Linked DNA regions of Saccharomyces cerevisiae S288C. The gene in region 2 interacts genetically with the main gene of each other region. Each region holds a gene or a part of one and is shown on either strand. Other genes may lie near its edges.

Region 1 (5,979 bases), on a different chromosome or scaffold from region 2:
GAATAATATCTATAATGGCTTCCGATGATGACTCTATTGACGTTCAATTATACTTTGCTGATGTTGTAAAGAATATCACCACTAATGACACCAAAGTGAAAAGACTTATTCACCTGTATTTACTTAGATTTGCAGAAAATGACCCAAACCTGACCCTGTTATCTATTAATTCTCTTCAAAAATCATTGTCTGATTCGAATTCCGAACTGAGATGCTTTGCTTTGAGTGCCCTTTCTGACATGAAAATGTCATCATTAGCACCTATAATTTTGCATACTGTCAAGAAATTGGTTACAGATCCATCTGCAATGGTTCGTGGTGAAGTCGCCTTGGCCATTATCAAATTATATAGGGCTGGAAAGAATGACTATCATGAAGAATTGTTGGATATTCTGAAAGAATTAATGGCAGATACAGATCCTAAGGTGATATCCTGTGCTGTCCTAGCTTACAAAGAATGTTATGCGGATCACTTGGAGCTATTGCATGGACATTTTCGCAGATATTGTAGAATAATTAAGCAACTAGATTCGTGGTCACAATCATATTTAATTGAGCTGCTAATCAAGTACTGTAAGCAGTATTTACCAAAACCAACTGTGGTCGATAAATCATCAGAAGGTTCCCCAAGGAGTTGTCCTTTACCAGATAAATACAACGAGATTGAATACCCATCTTACGAGGTGGTAAATGACCCTGATTTAGATTTATTTCTACAGAGTTTGAATTGCTTAATTTATAGTTCCAACCCTACAGTGATTTTATCGTGTTGCAATGCGCTATATCAGTTAGCTTCACCATTGCAGATGAAAAATACTAAATTTATTGAAGCATTGGTTAGAACGGTAACCATGACAGAAAACCAAGGTAACAAAGAAATGCTTTTACAAGCAATTCACTTCTTATCGATCTTAGACCAGACACTATTTTTACCCTACACCAAGAAATTTTACGTTTTCCCCAAAGATCCTATTGTGGCATCAATTTGGAAGATCCAAATTTTGTCCACGTTAATAAATGAATCAAACGTTAAAGAAATATTCAAAGAATTGAAATATTATGTTGCCAGTGCTCATTTCCCAGAAAATGTTGTTATTATGGCGGTTAAGTCATTATCTCGATGTGGCCAATTGTCAACGAGTTGGGAATCACATGTAATGAAGTGGTTAATTGATCATATGGAATCCCACAACCTCTCTGCTTCTGTCCTAGATGCATACGTGAATGTTATCAGGATGCTGGTGCAAAAAAATCCTACAAAACATCTTCGCATAATCTTCAAGCTTGCAGATTTATTAACAGTTCAAACGAGTTTGGCTGATAATGCTCGTGCAGGTATTGTTTGGTTATTTGGTGAAATTGCCTCGATTGAATTTAAGATATGTCCGGACGTTTTGAGGAGGCTAATCCAGAATTTTTCAAATGAGGGTCCTGAGACAAGATGTCAGATCTTAGTGTTATCAGCAAAACTGTTGTCATATGACATTGATAATTTTAAGCAAGCGCAAGTTACTGGAAGCGAAGAAAATAACCAAAATCCCCCATACTATGATTTTAGTGGTTCAAGAATCTCTCAAATGTACAATGCGGTCCTTTACTTGGCAAAATATGATGACGAATTTGATATTAGGGATAGAGCCAGGATGATTTCATCCTTGTTTGATTCAGGGAAATATGAAATTGTGTCACTACTATTACAAGCACCTAAACCTACGGCAAGAAGTGACGATTTTATCGTTTCTGCAAGATTGGAAACACATACCCCAGAAATAAAAGAATTTTTTAGAATGCTTCCTTGGAATACTGAAATTACTGAGGTTGGCGAGACAGGTAACGATATTAGAGAAGGCGCAGAATTGAAAGACTATAACAAATACAAAAAAAGTTTTTCATCGCAGTCTTTTATTACCAACAACTCAGCAAGATCTTTCACATCTAGCTCCAACGCAAAATTGACTGGGATCAATGACGGCGATAGCAATAGCATCTCAGGTAAAGGTAACGTAAACACCTTCACATCTCAAAACGGGAAGAAATATCGTTTGCAAAGCCTGGACGAGTTTTTTTCCGACATTCCAGAAAGGAAGAGTAAACCAAGGAAAATTATAAAGGTGGTGGAAGAAAGCAGTGACGAGGATGAAGACGAATCGGAAGAGAGCAGTGACGATGATGAGTATAGTGACTCTTCTTTGGGAACGTCTTCTTCGGGAACGTCTTCTTCGCATCTGGAGCTTTAGAACTCGGAGATAATACTATATAAATATGTATATTTATAGATATAGATATAGGCATGTATATCTTCCCAGTAATATACGTGTTTGGGACGAAAACAAAAGAGAAGTTGGTAAACAAAGTTTCATGTGAATTTGCTTAGTACAAAAATACATACAAATATAAAAGAAAAGTTACAAATTGCAAACACACTCATAACGAGGGGCAAAAAAAGTGGAGGGTGAAGAAAGTCAAGCCTAATACATGTACTTAAACTCAGGGTTTTTGTCGCTTAACCTTTCGTCGTATGGAATAGGCTCTCCCAATTCATTACAGCGATCTATTATTGCTTTCTTTTTATCGTTTTCCCTCTTGTATAGGAAAATTTGCACAACCGTCATAAATATGGAGAAGACTTGAAAGGCCAGACTAATCGACAGCCCTTTGATATATCTTGGCTTGTCTTTGGCAACAAAAATTTGACCAGAGACCAACCCTGAACCAGACCCGAAAAATAGATTAATTCCTAAAGCGGTGGCTCTCTTGAAGTAATTACCAGTGTTACCACTTAACCATAAACAGTTACAGGCAGCATTAACGTAAATACCCATACAAAGAATGTAAACGCCAAAATATCTCACACCATGAACTTGAGAACCAAGGACGATAGCTATGCCTATCGAAGTCGTCAGACAAGCACCCAGGATGAATGGAGATCTCAACTTTATACGATCAGACCAAACGGCACAAATGAAGAACACAATTGCTGTAAGGAAATAGATGGGCACGGTCATTAATTGAGCTCTGACATTAGTGAACCCCATACTGGTAATGATGATCGGCAAGAAGACTGTTAGACCAAAAGTAGTCAAATCGATACCGAATAATGCCACAGCACTAGCCCAAGTCTTGACATCCTTAACTGCTTGCCACACTTGGAACCATTCAAATTTTTCGTCCGGGTCAAAAGTGTTCATAGTCTTGTATCTTTCGGAAATGTACTCTTTTTCCTCCTTATTGAAAAACCACGAATCCTCCAAATTTTTGCTCAACCCGAAGGCATAGAATGGTACGAACCCCAAAGAGATACAACCTTCGACAATGTAAATGTATTGCCAGTCCTTTAGAGAACCGCTGATTTTGGAACAACCATAAGCAATCAGCCCACCAAAAGATGAAGACAAACAGGCTGCACTGAAGACAAAAGCGAACCTCAGAGCATATTGTTCTCTTCTATAGCAGACTGAAAGGTACATGTTAATAGCGGGATAAATCATACCTTCAAAGGCACCCAGTAGTAGTCTGACAACGATCAATTGAGCATAATTCTTAACCCAAGCAGTTCCGAGCGAAATAGCACCGAAACAGGTCAAACAGATACTCATCATTAATGGCGGACCCATAATTTTCAGAAGGTTAGTACCTATGGGGTCGAAAAGAACATACGTCGCGAAAAAAACTGTGACACATGTGTTATATTGCGTTCCTACAAGGTGGATATCCTTGGATAGACCTGCAACTTCTGCGTTACCAATATTCGATTTATCCAGGTTAGAAAGGAAATATAGCATCCCCATAAGAGGAATCAAGTATATATCCATTTTGCGCAAGACACGCTTTTCCATTGGATGGGAAGGGGAGGGGATGCCGTCATCATCCGTGGTAGTAGCCATAATTTCCCGTTCGGTGGCAAGTTCCGACTTCTTGTCATGGCTGCGATTATGCAAGCTAGCGTCATGGCCTTCATCTTCCTGGAACGTGACTTCCGTAGGCTTTTCTTCTGATCCATCATTGGTGGGTGATATGAAAAGCACATCATCCACCAAATGCTTAGGTGACTCCATTGTAAATTTGTTGCTCATCTAGAGGTAATGACAATAGTTCAATGCTCGAAAGTGAAGAAATATTTCTTTTTTTTTTTATATAAGCCTTCTGCGCAGTCGTTTTTTTTTCAGTCGCTGTCTCACGGGGGAAAATAGTTTGAAAAAGGCGAAGAGGGGGAAAACTGTGATGTGAATACGACTTCTAAGACAGTAAATATGGACGTATGCTTATAGCTTGGAGAGTTAGTTAATATAGAGAAATATAAATAGTAGATAAGAAGTACATATGAAACAAAAAAAAAATGGCAATAAAATAACAAAAGGATCTCGAGTAGGAACATACTTCAAAGAAAGGAAAACTCATGGTTTATATATTATCCAGAATTTTTAACGTAATCGGAGATGCGACAGATATTTCAGGGTGTATGGATGAGGTCAAAACAATACTAATCACACACGCCGCGAAGCCTTCGACGGTTCGTAACCTGTCCTCATGTGTGACGCATAGGATTCTACGGTAGATCCCGAGTATGCCCGGCTGTGATTGGTAACTATGATTGCGAGTAATAAGCGATCCGGCGTCCGGTGGTATTTTCTATTTTGTTGGTGCGACCGCTTCTTCGCAGAGAATGGGTGACTTGTAAAAGGAGAGAGACACTGGAAAAACCAACAGAATACGAGCAGGAAACTAGAAAATAAAAAACTAAAAAAAAAAAAAAACAAAAAGGAAAGGAAAAATTAGTAGAAGCCGGCGACGATTGCAGAATCCAGAGGGATACCGCTGTAACAGAGAATACGGGCACCCAGACAAGTGACTGGCGCCAGACTTTGTTATTTCACCTGGACCCGAATAATAATATTAAATAGTGATAATAATAATAACATATAGCATAAATAATAATGTACAAAATAATAATAATAAATAAATAAATGGTTCACCATGGACTGTACAGGCGTTCCGGAACGCACATAGTGACAGTACAAGACCTGGTTGTGTGCCATAATGGCCGGCATGTGAAATCGCGGCTTCTGTATATGTACATATCTGTTCTTTTACCATGTCGTCCATTTTCCGTTCACTTTAGCCAACACGGCGACGTTGTGCGGAATTGATTTGAAGTCGATTTTTTCTATGGAGTATTCCCAAACTGCCCCCAAATTTTGCAAATTAGTGCGCGGGGTGAATGGGTGCGTCAGAGCATTTACTGACACCTGGCGGCATAAGCAGCGACGTATCGTGTCCAAGGCAGGCCATAGCAAGAGCGTTTGTGATTGATTTTCAAGGCGCAGATACCATTGGAACACAGTAGCGCAGAAGGTACTCCTCAAAAGAGACAGAGAGAGAAATCAGAGTCAGGGAGCTTAGTAGCTGCTGTTACCAATATTATACAATAAGTAAGGTTTGCATATGCGGAAACTTCGCACTTGAATTTTTTTTTTTTTCTTTTTTGGTAGCTTTTTGATGTTTCCAGAGGATGTGAGTCAATGAGTGGTGTGACCCCAATACCACATTTTGTTGCTGTTTTTTTTTTTTCATTGTTAATTATCACTATTTTTTTTTCTTTCTAGTATAACCCATTCGAACCTCCGTGGAGGCATTAAAAGGGAGAGTGAAAAAAAAAAAAAGAAAAGAAAAAGAAAAGATGCCGCCACATATAGAGACCTTAAAGGGATTGAAAAACTGTACGTAAATCATTGAAGGTTCTACACGTCATCCATGAAGAAAAGCATTTTCGGGAGAACGCCAAACTTCAGACATGGGTGTGCATTCATTTTGGGATATTGCAGGTCCTACGGCAAGACCGGTCAGGCTGGAATCCTTGGAAGATAAGAGAATGGCAGTAGATGCCTCCATTTGGATATATCAGTTTTTGAAAGCTGTCCGTGATCAGGAGGGGAATGCAGTGAAGAATTCTCATATTACTGGGTTCTTTAGAAGAATTTG
Region 2 (7,777 bases):
CATGATAAAATAGCCAAAGAGAACGAATTCGATGTAAGGCAAGATAAGCATTCTAATAATATAAGGGCGAATCAGATAGACGACGAGCCCATGCAGGCCAATCGACGAATTAAATACACATATCATGACTTGGTTTCAAGAGGTTGTGAAATGAACGAGGATATGACGGATATCTACATGAAATCATTAGAGCTATATAACGATATCCCAGAAAAGTATAAAAAGAGAAAATTCAGACTGCCCAAACAAATTCTAAAAAAGTATCACCAGCCAAAAAAGACCAGTTCATACTTAAAGGAGCTATTAAGTAAAACAAGAGAAGATTTCATACCTGTGGAAAAGTTATTGAAGGATAAACGGTTGACATCAAAGGACAAATCCAAGCTACAACGCTTAAATCGTGAAGAGACGGAAGATGCTCTAAACAAAAGAACATTTTTTCAGGTAAAGGGCTACTTAGAGGATGAGAATGAGATCTCTGATTACGAGTTGGACGACTGCCTCATAGAACTGCCTAATGGGAACATATGAATGAGAAAATCTTTTTTTTACCTTTTTCCATTAAGAAATATTCATCTCCTTTTAAGATCAACATATGTAACAATAAATATACTCTTTTAAAGATGTTCTTTTAATTTACTTACTGAAATTTAATATTAATAAAAGTTCGAAAACAAAGACTAAATACAAAAATAAAAAGATCATAAATTCAAACTTTTAAGAATGTCTTTTACGGATACATATTTACATATTAGACTATGATAATCATATATGCTCCTTTCTATCTCTTCTTGCTGAACTTTCTTCCTTTTTATGTTTTTTTGACTTTTTGGATTTTTTATGCTTCGATTTATCACCTTCATCGCTGCTATGCTTACTTTTCTTTCCTTTTTTACTCTCCTTCTTGCTTTTCTTCTTCTTCTTCTTCTTACTCTCACTGTCGTTACTAGTCTTTTTATCTTTTTTCAATTTTTTTCTCTTGACCTTGTTATCATCTTCATCACGCCTTCTTCTCTTCTTCCCTTTACTCGAACTTGCACTAGATACAACAAAGCTGGCTTCCTCCTTTTTACCAAGATTAGTAATGGTTCCTTTCAGCCCTTCTCCCTTTACAAACCACCTGTATAGAGGTGAGCTACTTTTCGATACAGCAGTAGCAACTGCCTCATTTTGAGTAAATTTAATACTGCCATTATTCGAATCAGTGCTTACATCCAGGTTCTTCAGATGTCCATCAAATAGCCTTTCCCACCATGCTTCGCCATCATTCCCGCCAGGAGCATTACCCAATCCCTTCTTATCTCTCTTGTGCTTTACCAGTATGGGTCTTTTCAAACCACCTTCTCTAAACGCTTCTCCTTCTTTCCAACCATATGATATCAGATATTCTTTGCTATCCATGTCCGATTTATTCTGATAATATTTCCGCTTGTATCATTCAATTTTCTATGTACATCATGACAATGAATTGTAGAGTGCATCAATGTCTTTTTTAAAGTCATCGCTAAAAAATTTTCAGGCGGGAACTTATTCAAAATGGCAGATTTACTACAACATTGAAAACCCTTTATATTTATTATATGAGAATCATTAGCGATAAACAAGCCCACATATTCACTTCATAATCTGTGATAATGGAGTATGGACATCACGCTAGACCAGATTCAAAACGACCATTGGATGAAGGATCACCAGCAGCCGCAGGATTAACTTCTAAGAAGGCGAACGAAGCTTTAACAAGAAATAGAGAATTAACAACTGTATTAGTCAAAAATTTGCCTAAGAGCTATAATCAAAACAAAGTCTATAAGTACTTCAAACATTGTGGGCCCATTATACACGTTGATGTTGCGGATTCGCTGAAGAAGAACTTTCGTTTTGCACGTATTGAATTTGCCAGGTATGATGGAGCCCTCGCTGCAATAACCAAAACACACAAAGTTGTAGGTCAGAATGAAATTATAGTATCTCATTTAACAGAATGCACATTATGGATGACGAATTTCCCCCCAAGTTATACTCAAAGAAATATTAGAGATCTATTGCAAGATATTAACGTTGTTGCACTCAGTATACGGCTTCCCAGTTTACGATTCAATACAAGCAGAAGGTTCGCTTACATCGATGTTACTTCTAAAGAGGATGCAAGATATTGTGTAGAAAAATTGAATGGACTCAAAATAGAAGGTTATACTTTAGTTACTAAAGTTTCCAATCCGCTGGAAAAGTCGAAACGGACCGATTCTGCCACACTAGAGGGGCGAGAGATTATGATACGAAACCTAAGTACAGAATTGCTCGACGAAAACCTTCTGAGGGAATCTTTTGAGGGATTTGGTTCCATTGAAAAAATCAACATACCTGCTGGACAGAAAGAGCACAGTTTCAATAACTGTTGTGCATTTATGGTTTTTGAAAATAAAGATTCTGCTGAAAGGGCACTTCAAATGAATAGAAGTTTGTTAGGTAATAGGGAAATTTCCGTTTCCTTGGCTGATAAAAAACCATTCTTAGAAAGAAACGAAGTCAAAAGACTTCTCGCATCGCGTAACAGCAAAGAACTAGAAACACTAATATGCTTATTTCCACTTTCAGATAAGGTGTCACCAAGCTTAATCTGCCAATTTCTTCAGGAAGAAATACACATCAATGAAAAAGATATTAGGAAAATACTTCTCGTTAGCGACTTCAATGGCGCCATTATTATATTTAGAGATAGTAAGTTTGCAGCAAAAATGCTAATGATACTAAATGGATCTCAATTTCAGGGAAAGGTGATACGTTCAGGTACTATTAATGACATGAAAAGATATTATAACAATCAACAGAATCACAGCATGAAACACGTCAAACCTAGTTGTATAAACATGATGGAAAAAGGACCAAATCTTCAAGTAAAGAAAAAAATTCCTGACAAACAAGAGCAGATGTCCAACGACGATTTTCGCAAGATGTTTCTAGGTGAGTAGACTAACCGAACCGGAGAAAGACGAACTTCTAATAGGATGTCATTTTAGCAGTGAATATAAACCCAAGTTTCTTTCCAAACGTTCACATACATCAAGCAGCCAACATTCGAGAGAGCAGAGATTACGTAATTATATACAAGGAACCTTTATCTAAACATTTTCTTCGAAGGTATTATTTTCATATTAAACGTAATACCATTTTTGCACCTCAGGCGGTATTTGAGAAGGGGGTTTAACACTATCTTCAAGTGTGACACCATTACCAGCCCTTTCTGTATTAGGCAGGTTGTCATACTTCTCCTGGAGTGATCCTGAAATGAGGTTTTTCCACGAATTGTGACATTTCTTTATAGTTTGGATGGTTTTATTGGAATTTTGATACTGTTCATGAAAGGCGAAACTATTTAATGGCTTCCCTGCTGGAACTTTATACTTTCTAAACCACTCCCTAGTCGTATCTAGAATCCCAGGAAAGTACTCCTCAATTTTTTCCAAGTCATCTATTTTAGAGGATAAAGGATCATTTACGTCGATCACTATGACCTTCCAATCCAATTCTCCATCATCAATTAAAGCGAGTGATCCTAATACCTTGACCTTTTTAATGGAACCCATTTCCAAAACATCCGAACCGATTTCGCAACAATCAAGAGGATCATTGTCACCTTTCAAAGCCACGTCACACTTCCCCAGTTTATGTTCAATTGTGGGATCTTCCCATGTTTGGGGAATAGCACCATAGTTGTGTATATAGCCGTGATAGGGAAAGATATTGTTCACGAACCTAAGCTTGCCATTCTTCGTATCTTGAACGATCGGATTGAACCTAAGTTCTTTGGATATTTCAAATTTTCCAGTTGTCCATCTTGGTACTTCAACAATCATATTTACGGTCTTTTCATGTTCATTCAAATCTAAAGGGACATCATGGAAAAAAGAACCAACCTCTCCATTTAATAATGTCAAGTATTTCTTAAACCCGAGGGTATATTTGCTGCCTTGTTGAATGGTGCTGAATTGTCTATGATTACGAATGGATAAAATATTCAATGTTTGTTTTAACCGTTCTATTGACCTAGCCTTGCTTGTTAAAGCATTCATTCGTAATAAATTCATGTTTTTCAGTAACTTCTCTAGAAGGGAATTTGCTTTTCACGCATACAAGCGAATCAAAGTTTCCAATTGAATGTACTCCCTATTAGTGCTGGTTAAATTAGCTGACTGCTCCGTATTACTGTGCGGAGTTCCTTTTATCCAATATTCAAACCTCATAGATTGCCAAAAACAAAAAAACTTTGCATAAAAAAAAACAAAAAGGGTTACTATACACGATGAATGATTAGACTATACACTATTATATAAGAAATGATTAGAATCATATTTTAAATGTATTAAAAGAATATATGCACGTCCTTTTCCTCTCCTTTTCTTAGTAAAATTACAATTCAACCATCAGAGGATAACAGCTAAACAAATAGGAATAGATAATTTCTGATAATGTTTAACCTTTAGACTGCCGAACGACTCTCTTCTTCCTTATACTTTGGGTCCGCAAATGGATTATTTTCCTTACTAGCTGTGTCAAATTCGCCATTTGCTTCACCATTTGCTTCGTCTTTAACATCATTATATGGTGGTGGTACGTCACGCAGAGTAAATTTCAAATTCTCATCGATGGTAGCATTTTCATCGTTCATTTCAACAACGCCAGAAACGTCTGAAATCAACAATTTGGAAAATCCAAAAGGATCGCGAGGAATCCACAATTCGGGGCATTGTGCACTAACAGCTGGATAATCGTAAGCATGAGAGATATCGAAATCATTGACTCTTTCATCAGGATCAACCAAACCATATATTTCTGGCAGTCTGCTCTTTACAGCCTTATAGGAGTAGTAAATGTGAGGTTTTAAGAATCTCTTCCACCATGGAGCCGGAGGAATTTTCATTGTATCACCATCTGCTAATAATGGCACGTCCTCAATTAAATTTTCTGCATTTATAGCGTGCCCATCTGCATTGGCTTCATTTGCTGGGTTGAATTGATATTCGAATGTATTTTCACTAAATATGCTATTTTCAACTTGTTGCTCAGTGACTGATTCACTCCTCTTGTGATATTTCTTTATTGGAAATTCAGGTAATTCTTTGATTCCGTCCATGTCAATATTTGCACCAAAAGTATTTTTCTTCACCTTTGTACTTTCTATGCCTTTATAAATATTTTTGAAAGAAGGTGTATCTGATACACCATCTAACGGTTTCATGGTATCAACGGGTATAACCTTTGATAAATGATCAAATGCAGCGCTCAAATGTAAATGAATAAGGACGGTAACACAAATTCCAATTACCTGTAAAACGATTGGGCCCCAACCTTTACCAACGGCAAAAAGACCTAATAGACATATCTGACCGATGTAGATACCAACTATAGTTTGGAAAAGAGCTCTTGGATAATAAATACCCCTTGCGTCGGGTGATTCCTGATAGACATAAGTCAAATTGTATAAATATGCAATATACAATAGGAAAAACGCGACGGCAGCAAATAATAAAATCAACGGAGAAATGATGGAGTAGGAGAAAGTAATAACTGCCAAGTTTGTATAAACTGGAAAAGCTGTCCCCCACTGCATACTGGATAGCCCACAAAAACGATTCCATTTCTTCCTAACGGTACCATCTAAAAAGGCACCTAAAACATAAAAGAGTATTAGTGGAACAATTTGCAAAAGAGCACCTGATGAAATGGACAGACCTTGTAGAATAACGTATGACATGAAAAAATTAGAAGCTTTTGGCAGATTAGAAGCCAGTAGATCCATAGCCTTCGTGGGCTCTTTAACAATTTCCGTTACTGTGGAAGTGGCGGCGGAGGATAGAGTGGTAACTAAAAAGACTTGGATAACTTGAAAGGCGAAATAAGCTTGTTGAGTGAAATATTCCACATTTTGCTTAGATGGAGCACCTTGAGTGATAGCCATACCCCTAATAAATTTCGGCAAGAAACTCATTAAAACGGCCAATGCCACAGTTGGGGCCAGAGATGTCAGTAAACCTAATAGTTGTTTTGGTAATTTATAGATGAACTTTAACCATTTAACTTCATTAGTCAAGGAAGTAATATTAGAGATCATACCAACAAAAGCCACTGGGAAAGCCCATAATATTACTAGCGCGACAATTGCTGAAACCGCACTGACTTCCCTACCTAATCTTTCCCACCAGAACATCCTCAAATTAAACCAAACGACATCGGATGGCTCAATACCAATATACACAGGCGTCATGAAAAGAGGAGCATGGTATGTGGTGATCTGAGCGGCAACTTGGGCCTGATATTGGGATTCAAACTCCACAAAAACGGAGTTGAAAGGGGATGAATTTTCATGATCTTCTTGTAATGCCTTCACCTTTTGGTTTAACTTGGGCAACTCCTCCTTAATGTAGGATATGGTGTCAACTTTTTTACCAAAAAAGAATTTAGCAACCTTGTTAATTTTATGATGTGGTCTTTTCTTGTCAGGGACATATTCAGCAATATTATCAGAGACAGATAATTGCGGACTTTTTTTGTTTAACTTCTTAATTTTTTTCAATGCTGCTTTCAGGTATTTTGTTTCAGCACCTTCCAATTGTATGGCCATATTGTCCCTTGCTTTGACCATTGCTTCAATTGAACCGGAACCTCTTGCGATCCAGACTCTTTTCACACCATCAAACAACTTAGAAAACTCTTCTTCACTTAAGTATTGCTTAGGGACAGTCTGGAATAACACGGTTCTCGAGGATAGTTTTTTAGCATAACGAGGGGACGCTAGTACAGCTTGCTTCATAGAGGTGTAAAAATACAATTCTCTGTAAATAATGTAAAGGAACCCCCAAAAGAAAATCCATCCACAGAAAACATGTGCAAAATATCTACCACGGTGCTTGACGTTCTGATAGGCCAATTGATTCAATCCGCTTTCATGGTTACCGTTACTGGCGTTAATGGACAACAAAATAGGGAATATATAACTCATGGAAACAGCACAGTAAATTGCAATGATGAAAAGGTACCTCAAAAAGAAATATCCATCCAGACCGGCTTGTTGAATGACAAAATTGTCTGATTTTTTCAATAACGGCTTCAGCCATTGCCAGACGCCCTGCGGTAGCGGTTCTGGCTTTTTTTCTTCATTAATCAGATTGAATGAGGATTTGGGCTCATAAATCCTTTTTAGTTTTATACGCAAAATCAAGAACGCTATGACAAAAACACCAAAAATAGTACCATTACTTACCAAAGAAGTAACGACTTGTTGAGTTGACGTGTTTGTACTGGTAGCTGTTGTAGTACTATTAGTACTATTAGTACTATTCATTTTGTCCCTTTGCCCTTGCTGCTAAGCCGTAAACTTATGATTACTAAAACAAAAAGAAACGGAAAAGGCAAACGAATTAATATATATAAGATGAAAAAGAAATAGAAAAAAACAACAAACCGAAATTTGATTACGAAATGGCCATTAATAATAATATTATACAACCAGGCACGGGACAACATCAAGATCGAGTGCCAAGCCATGCGGCTTTGCTGTTGGTTATCAAGTATTTTCTTCCTTTTCCACGATAAAAAAACAAAGATGAAGAATTTTTTTCCAACTTCAAAACCGAAGCTGGCCCACAGAATCCACACAGAAGAAACTTTATACCCGAAAGGAGAAGAAAGGGTGTGCCTTTCCCGCTAAAAAATCGTAGCCAGGAAAGGCCGCCCCTGTGATGTCAGCTGCGGGAAGTGATTCGCGCAGAACGACTCACGC
Region 3 (5,911 bases), on a different chromosome or scaffold from region 2:
CCTGTTCAACGAAGTGGGAATTAGATTCTTTTATCCGAGGATTAAGAAGGAATACATTTATGGTAGATTTTGAAATTGTTGAAAAGATTTCTCATAGAAATGGAAATGATGGGGTGAATGAAGATGATAACACTACAGATGAAAGTGATGAAACAATGACTTCTTTTCTAACAGATAATTACAAAAAGATGGACATTGTGTGCATCGATCATTTCGTCACGTTGAGTGCATTCCGACCTCGGTACTATGATGAACCAATAATTAAAATCGATTCATTATCGAACAAAAATGGCTCTGAAAATGGAACTAATGAAGAAGAGTGGGCAGAAAGTCAAATGAAGGTGGATGGCCAAGTGATAGATGATGAGACAGCTCAATTCAAGCAGGCATTGGGAAATTTATGTTCATTCAAGAAATTATTTATGCTGGATGATTCTTTATGCTTTATATTGGACACACATGGAGTTTTGTTGATAAATAGATTTGAAATAAAAAATACCAAAAATTTGTTAAGGAATTCCAAGGATACTATTCGGATAATACCCCATGATTTCGGATTGATTAATGATACAATTGTTATAATTAATGATATAGACGTAGGCACAGACAATGTTTGCGCCCTTACGTTTCACTTGGTGGTAACATCAATGGCAGGAGAGATAACTGTTCTTAAAGGCGAATTTTTCAAAAACTGCAGGTTAGGAAGAATAAAACTGTGCGATTCACTAAAGCTAAATAGAAAAGATCGGTTTGTCGACAAACTTGCTCTAATCGATTATGACGGTTTAAATGCACAAAAAAGAAGGTTAGATTACGATGAAAAGGACCTTTATACATTCATTGTGAAAAAGGTAAAAAGAGACTAAATTGAGTTGCATAGATGTTAGCCATAATAGAAAATAGCGTATGAGGTAGCAGGAGTTATAAGACGTATTTACGTATATGTATGTATATGTTATTATTATTACCTGTGATTGCACGAAGGCCTTTTTTTTTCACAACAAGAAGATGTAAGAAATTTACATGCTATTTTGATTAATGGTCGAATTAGGTATTGTCTTTAATCTTTCATTAAGAAAATATAATGTAACCAAGAACAGCTTGTTAAAGGGCTTCCTATTTAAAGTTATCTTCTTTTCCCCAAGGTACCACTCCTATATGGTTGATAAGAATTGTAGTTTCTGTAATTGGAAGAGTTGGAAATGCTGTTATTATCAACATAAGTAGAAGGGTTATATCTGGAGCCATACATATTCTCCGATATCGACGAGACGTTTACTTTTGTATTTTGATACCGTGAATTTTTACTAATATTATTATTGAGTGACAGCGTCTCGCCCCTTATAGTTGGTTGAATGACATTAGACTTTTGATAAGGAGGAGGATGGAAGTTCGATGCTCTACGTTTATTTCTGCCACTATGAGAGTGATCGTTTTGGGAATGTCTTTTATGGGAAGGTCTCGGTAGTGGATCCTCATCGTATATGGACTCACTAAATTGATAGTCTTCATTTTCGTCCGAATTTCTGTTCATGTGACGGTAATATTCCTGTTTTAGCTCAACTGACAAATTAGAACCAGTGAACGCACTTCCATCCTCGTTAGGTACTCTAGATGATCGTTTTTCCTTGCAATCATCACCAAAGTGCCCCTTTCCACCGCAGTTATAACAGTATATAGTATGAAAGGGAAGGACCTTGGGCTTAGCCTTTTCATTATCATCTACTAAAATATATGCTCTCCATATACTAGGACATCTTTCTTTTGAGTGTTTCTTACTCTTACAAAGAGTGCACTGAACTTTTTTCCATTTATGTGGACATTGTGACCTGTAATGACCCACCTCATCACACTTTGAACACTGGATAGCCTTCGGACAATGTCGAGAATAATGATCATCCGTCGCCCCACAGTACGAACATATTATATGGGGACAATCCTTCTTCAAATGACCTCTTTGAGAGCAATTATTACATTTAGGTGCTGCCTCTTTAATGGCATCCTTGTCATCATCGCTTACGCCAAAATATCTACCCTGCCCTCTAAGAGCTCTTAATTCGTTGGGATTACTATTTACTTCCTCTATAGAAGGTGCTACAAGTTTATCTGGAGGAGTTGTGGGTGCCGTATCGACGACAAATGGTGCCGTATTTTTTTCCATGACTGCGAGGAAGTGATGTAAGCTGCTATCGTTGTACAGGTAAGGTTTAATTCTCTCTGATGCTGCCAATAGTCATAACTTTTTTCGAAATGTTTCTTCCCATCCCATTAGTGTTTGAAGGAAAAAAAGGCACTACCCGGATCATGAATACATTTGATGGTAATAATATATATCACATTTTTAAGCATGTATTAGCTACTGGGAAAGGGCATTTTGAAATGGTATGTTTTCTTTAAGGATGAACTATATATATTACATGAAATATATTTCAGGTTTACGTGAAGGGTGAAAAAGGAAAATCAGATACTCACCTGTAATCATTAGCGGGCTCGTTTGGATCAGTTTTAAAGATTTTGTCCGGGTTCATGATTCTCTTTGGGTCAATAGCTAGCTTAATCTTTCTCATCAAATCGACGGGTGCTTCACCTAATTCTTCGAGCAAGTACTCTCTTTTACCAATACCAACACCGTGTTCACCCGTGCAAGTGCCTTCTGCGTTCAGTGCTCTCTTGACCATTCTGTCAACAAGTTGGCTACAGGTTTCGTGTTCTTCAGGGGTTCTGTAGACGATGAATGCATGGAAGTTACCATCACCTGCATGACCAACAATGGCGTTGATCAGCTTACTAGCTTGCATGTCCTTTTTAGTTTCGTGAATAACCTTGTCGAACTGCGACACAGGAACAGCTACATCAGTTGTCCAAATTTTAGCTGATTTGTCTTTGCTCTTATCAGCGTCTAGCACAGACCATAGCGCGACCTTTCTAGCTTCCCATAATTCCAATTTTTCGTCATCATCTTTAGCAAACTGAAAACTGTTGCAGTGATTTAACTGGGCGACAGCCTTAACTTCATCCACAAGAGCATTGACAATGTTGGGAGATCTCCCACCAATCTTGAAAAACATAGTTGGTTTCTCTACCCAATCACATCTGTCCGTGGATTCAGATGCGTTGATCAACTTCATCATATTTTCATCCAGTAACTCCATGGCGTTCAAATGAATACCACTCTGAGTCAGATTAGAAGCACATGCGGCCGCATCCTTGATAGTATCAAAGGATACCACCGCAACAGTTTCAGCTTTGGGCTTGACATGACACTTGACAGTAGCTTCAGTAACAATACCTAAGGTACCTTCACTTCCCACAAATAAACCATTTAAGTTATAGCCAGCGCTCGACTTTCTGGGTCTTTTCTTCGTCTTGACAATGGTCCCGTCCGGCAACACTATAGTCATGTTTATAATATTCTCCTTCATGGTACCGTAACGGTAGGCGTTGGTTCCTGAACAAGAATTAGCAATGCAACCACCAATCTGTGCACCTGGACCAGGGTCACAGCCAAACATCAAACCGTGGTCGCTCAAATAGTCATTCAAATCCTCCCAGGGTAGACCGGCCTGCACGGTGATGTCCAGGTCCAGCTTGTCAAATTTTACGACGTTATTCATAAACTTGGACAGGTCTACGGTTATGGTATCTCCAATTCTTGTAGGCAGGAAGTGCCCCTCCAAGGACGTTCCGCCCGAGAAGGGTACAACTGGCATGTTGTTATCGTGACATATTTTCAAAATTTTGGAAACTTCTTCGGTAGTATGAGGGAATAATATAATCCTAGGTCTTTGCTCGGGAGAGGGGTGATGCGTGTTGAAGTAGGTATCTGAATGGGCGTCCAAATCGGATTTCGCATCAGAGTAGTTTTCAGGCTTGTTTCCCAGCACCTGCTTCAGGTCCTCAACAACCTTATCGATCTTAACCGGGTCGTGCAAATAGTCTGGTGAGTCCAATGAGGACAGCTTTAACGTAGAATTTACTGGGTCGATCTTTTTGACCATTTCCAGCTTCTCTATCAAATCTTCCTTAGTCTCCCTAGAATAGAGGTTCTTAGCGAACAAATAACCGAATAGAGTAGCTGAAGAGGCGATGACAGAGTATTTTAACCACTGGCTGCTGCTGTCGGTGCTGCCTGTGCCTGTTGAGGCGTATCTGTAGCATGATCTTCTCACCAGCCTTCCTCTAGGTTGTGCAATAGGCTTTATTAGCCTTGTGCAAGTACGCTTCCACAACATTGTTCTTGCTTTTGTTTCCAGCTGGATCGGAATGATGTACAATATTTAAATTGCACTATAACACGGAAGCTCAAGAAATCTTTCCAGCCCACACACACACACACATATATATATACATATGTAGTTCCGAGTGCAAAATCGCTAAGCGGTTATTACTGCACCAGTTGGGGCCAACTACGCTGGATCGACGTGGGATTGGCAGGGAAGAACTTCGAGGGAGGTGGTCGGAGAAGAGAGTGGGATGCGGGCGTGGGGGTCTGCTGTTACTTTTATCGGCACAACGGACCTGGGTTGACAAGAGCTTGAAGGCTCCAAGAGACAGCGACCGTCGGCGCCGAATGACGAAACTATGCTGTGTGTGACCAGGCGAACAACATTGAGAGAGTTGAGGAGCCGTACGGACAGCTGTTTGTAGTGATATTTCCTTGTTGTAACCAGACGAGTTCCTTTATAACGTTTTGAAATGTTTCATAGGGTTACCCTGACAGAGCGGTGGCTTATGTCAAAAAGGCTGACGCTGATACTAATGACGGTCAATGGAAGCATATGAGCAAAAGCAGCAGCAGCGTTAGCAGCAGCAGTAGCGTAAGACCAAGTTAGTATGGCTACGTTCAACCCACAAAACGAGATGGAGAACCAGGCACGTGTACAAGAGTACAAGGTCTCCACTGGCAGAGGCGGAGCTGGCAACATCCATAAATCTATGTCCAAGCCGTCTCCCGTACTTCTTCCATTGAAATCCAATTCAAAGACAGTAGCAAACAACAATAATAACGGTAGCAACCAGGAAAAGGTTCCTCGTTTTGCAATTGGTAGAGGTGGTGCCGGTAATATCTTTCATGATCCGCACCTGACGAGATCCGCCCAACAACTGGACTCTAACGACAATATCAACTATAACGACGTGATCAATGACATCGACGATTATATTTCCCCTATAACTTCGGATATGGTGGATGAAGGTGGGTCAAACCCGGTGACCAACACCAGGTCTCGTATCAGCGCTACAAGGAGCCATCAGTCTTTGCATGCCACCACTTCGTCTCCGAACAACAACGCCCCAATTGTCGTTGGTAGAGGTGGGGCAGGAAACATTTTCTTCAACAAAAAAAAGGTGGCCAGCAATGGTGGAAATGAAGAGGATGAGATACGAGGCGGCAATATCGAGGATGAGGATACTATCAATGCAAACGAGGACAACCTGTTTGTGGTGACTTCCAATGGCAATGCTTTGGCGGCAATCAAGTCCACGTCCAAGAAGCCTAAAAATAAGCTCAAGGGCAAAAGCGCACCGGAAAAATTTGCTATTGGAAGAGGTGGCGCTGGAAACATAATTTCTCCAAAGTCAAGCAGGAACACTATCAACCATAACTTAAACGATGATGATGAAGATAAGTTTAATTTGAAAGATGACAATGGTAAAGAGAAGAAGAAGAAGAAGAAGAAGAAATCAGGGTTTTTCAGTTCTTTGAAAACTATGTTTAATTGAAATAACATTCATCAGCAAAATTAATAAACTAAATAAAATAAATAAATAAATAAATAAATAAATAAATAAATAAATAAATAAATAAATAATATACGATCATAAAATAAATAATAACTCAAGCTTTTTAGACTTGACTAGCTAATTCTTTCAATAGTTTGTAATCACGTTGAACGATACCACCATTACTTGG

The links. Genes that interact genetically often act in the same process or in processes that back each other up.
Region 1: mutations in PPA2 (region 2) and TNA1 together harm fitness more than expected from each alone (negative genetic interaction), as found in Saccharomyces cerevisiae (2 studies listed by BioGRID).
Region 3: mutations in PPA2 (region 2) and DLD1 together harm fitness more than expected from each alone (negative genetic interaction), as found in Saccharomyces cerevisiae (2 studies listed by BioGRID).

Annotation. Positions count from the first base shown.
Region 1 is NC_001139.9:1,010,579-1,016,557, reverse strand, and holds TNA1 (Tna1p), read right to left. Parts: upstream 4,074-5,979; coding exon 2,469-4,073; downstream 1-2,468. Other genes in the region: APL6 (AP-3 complex subunit beta), read left to right, coding at 1-2,237; ssDNA endodeoxyribonuclease RAD2, read left to right, coding at 5,792-5,979. UniProt on the Saccharomyces cerevisiae protein: Involved in the uptake of nicotinic acid.
Region 2 is NC_001145.3:798,080-805,856, reverse strand, and holds PPA2 (inorganic diphosphatase PPA2), read right to left. Parts: upstream 4,086-7,777; coding exon 3,153-4,085; downstream 1-3,152. Other genes in the region: RRN9 (Rrn9p), read left to right, coding at 1-531; TMA23 (Tma23p), read right to left, coding at 766-1,401; U6 snRNP complex subunit PRP24, read left to right, coding at 1,635-2,969; RSN1 (Rsn1p), read right to left, coding at 4,478-7,339. UniProt on the Saccharomyces cerevisiae protein: Involved in energy production. Its activity is stimulated by uncouplers of ATP synthesis.
Region 3 is NC_001136.10:143,358-149,268, forward strand, and holds DLD1 (D-lactate dehydrogenase), read right to left. Parts: upstream 4,233-5,911; coding exon 2,469-4,232; downstream 1-2,468. Other genes in the region: GID12 (Gid12p), read left to right, coding at 1-866; AIR2 (TRAMP complex RNA-binding subunit), read right to left, coding at 1,127-2,161; PAR32 (Par32p), read left to right, coding at 4,834-5,721; GLT1 (glutamate synthase (NADH)), read right to left, coding at 5,846-5,911. UniProt on the Saccharomyces cerevisiae protein: Catalyzes the stereospecific oxidation of D-lactate to pyruvate.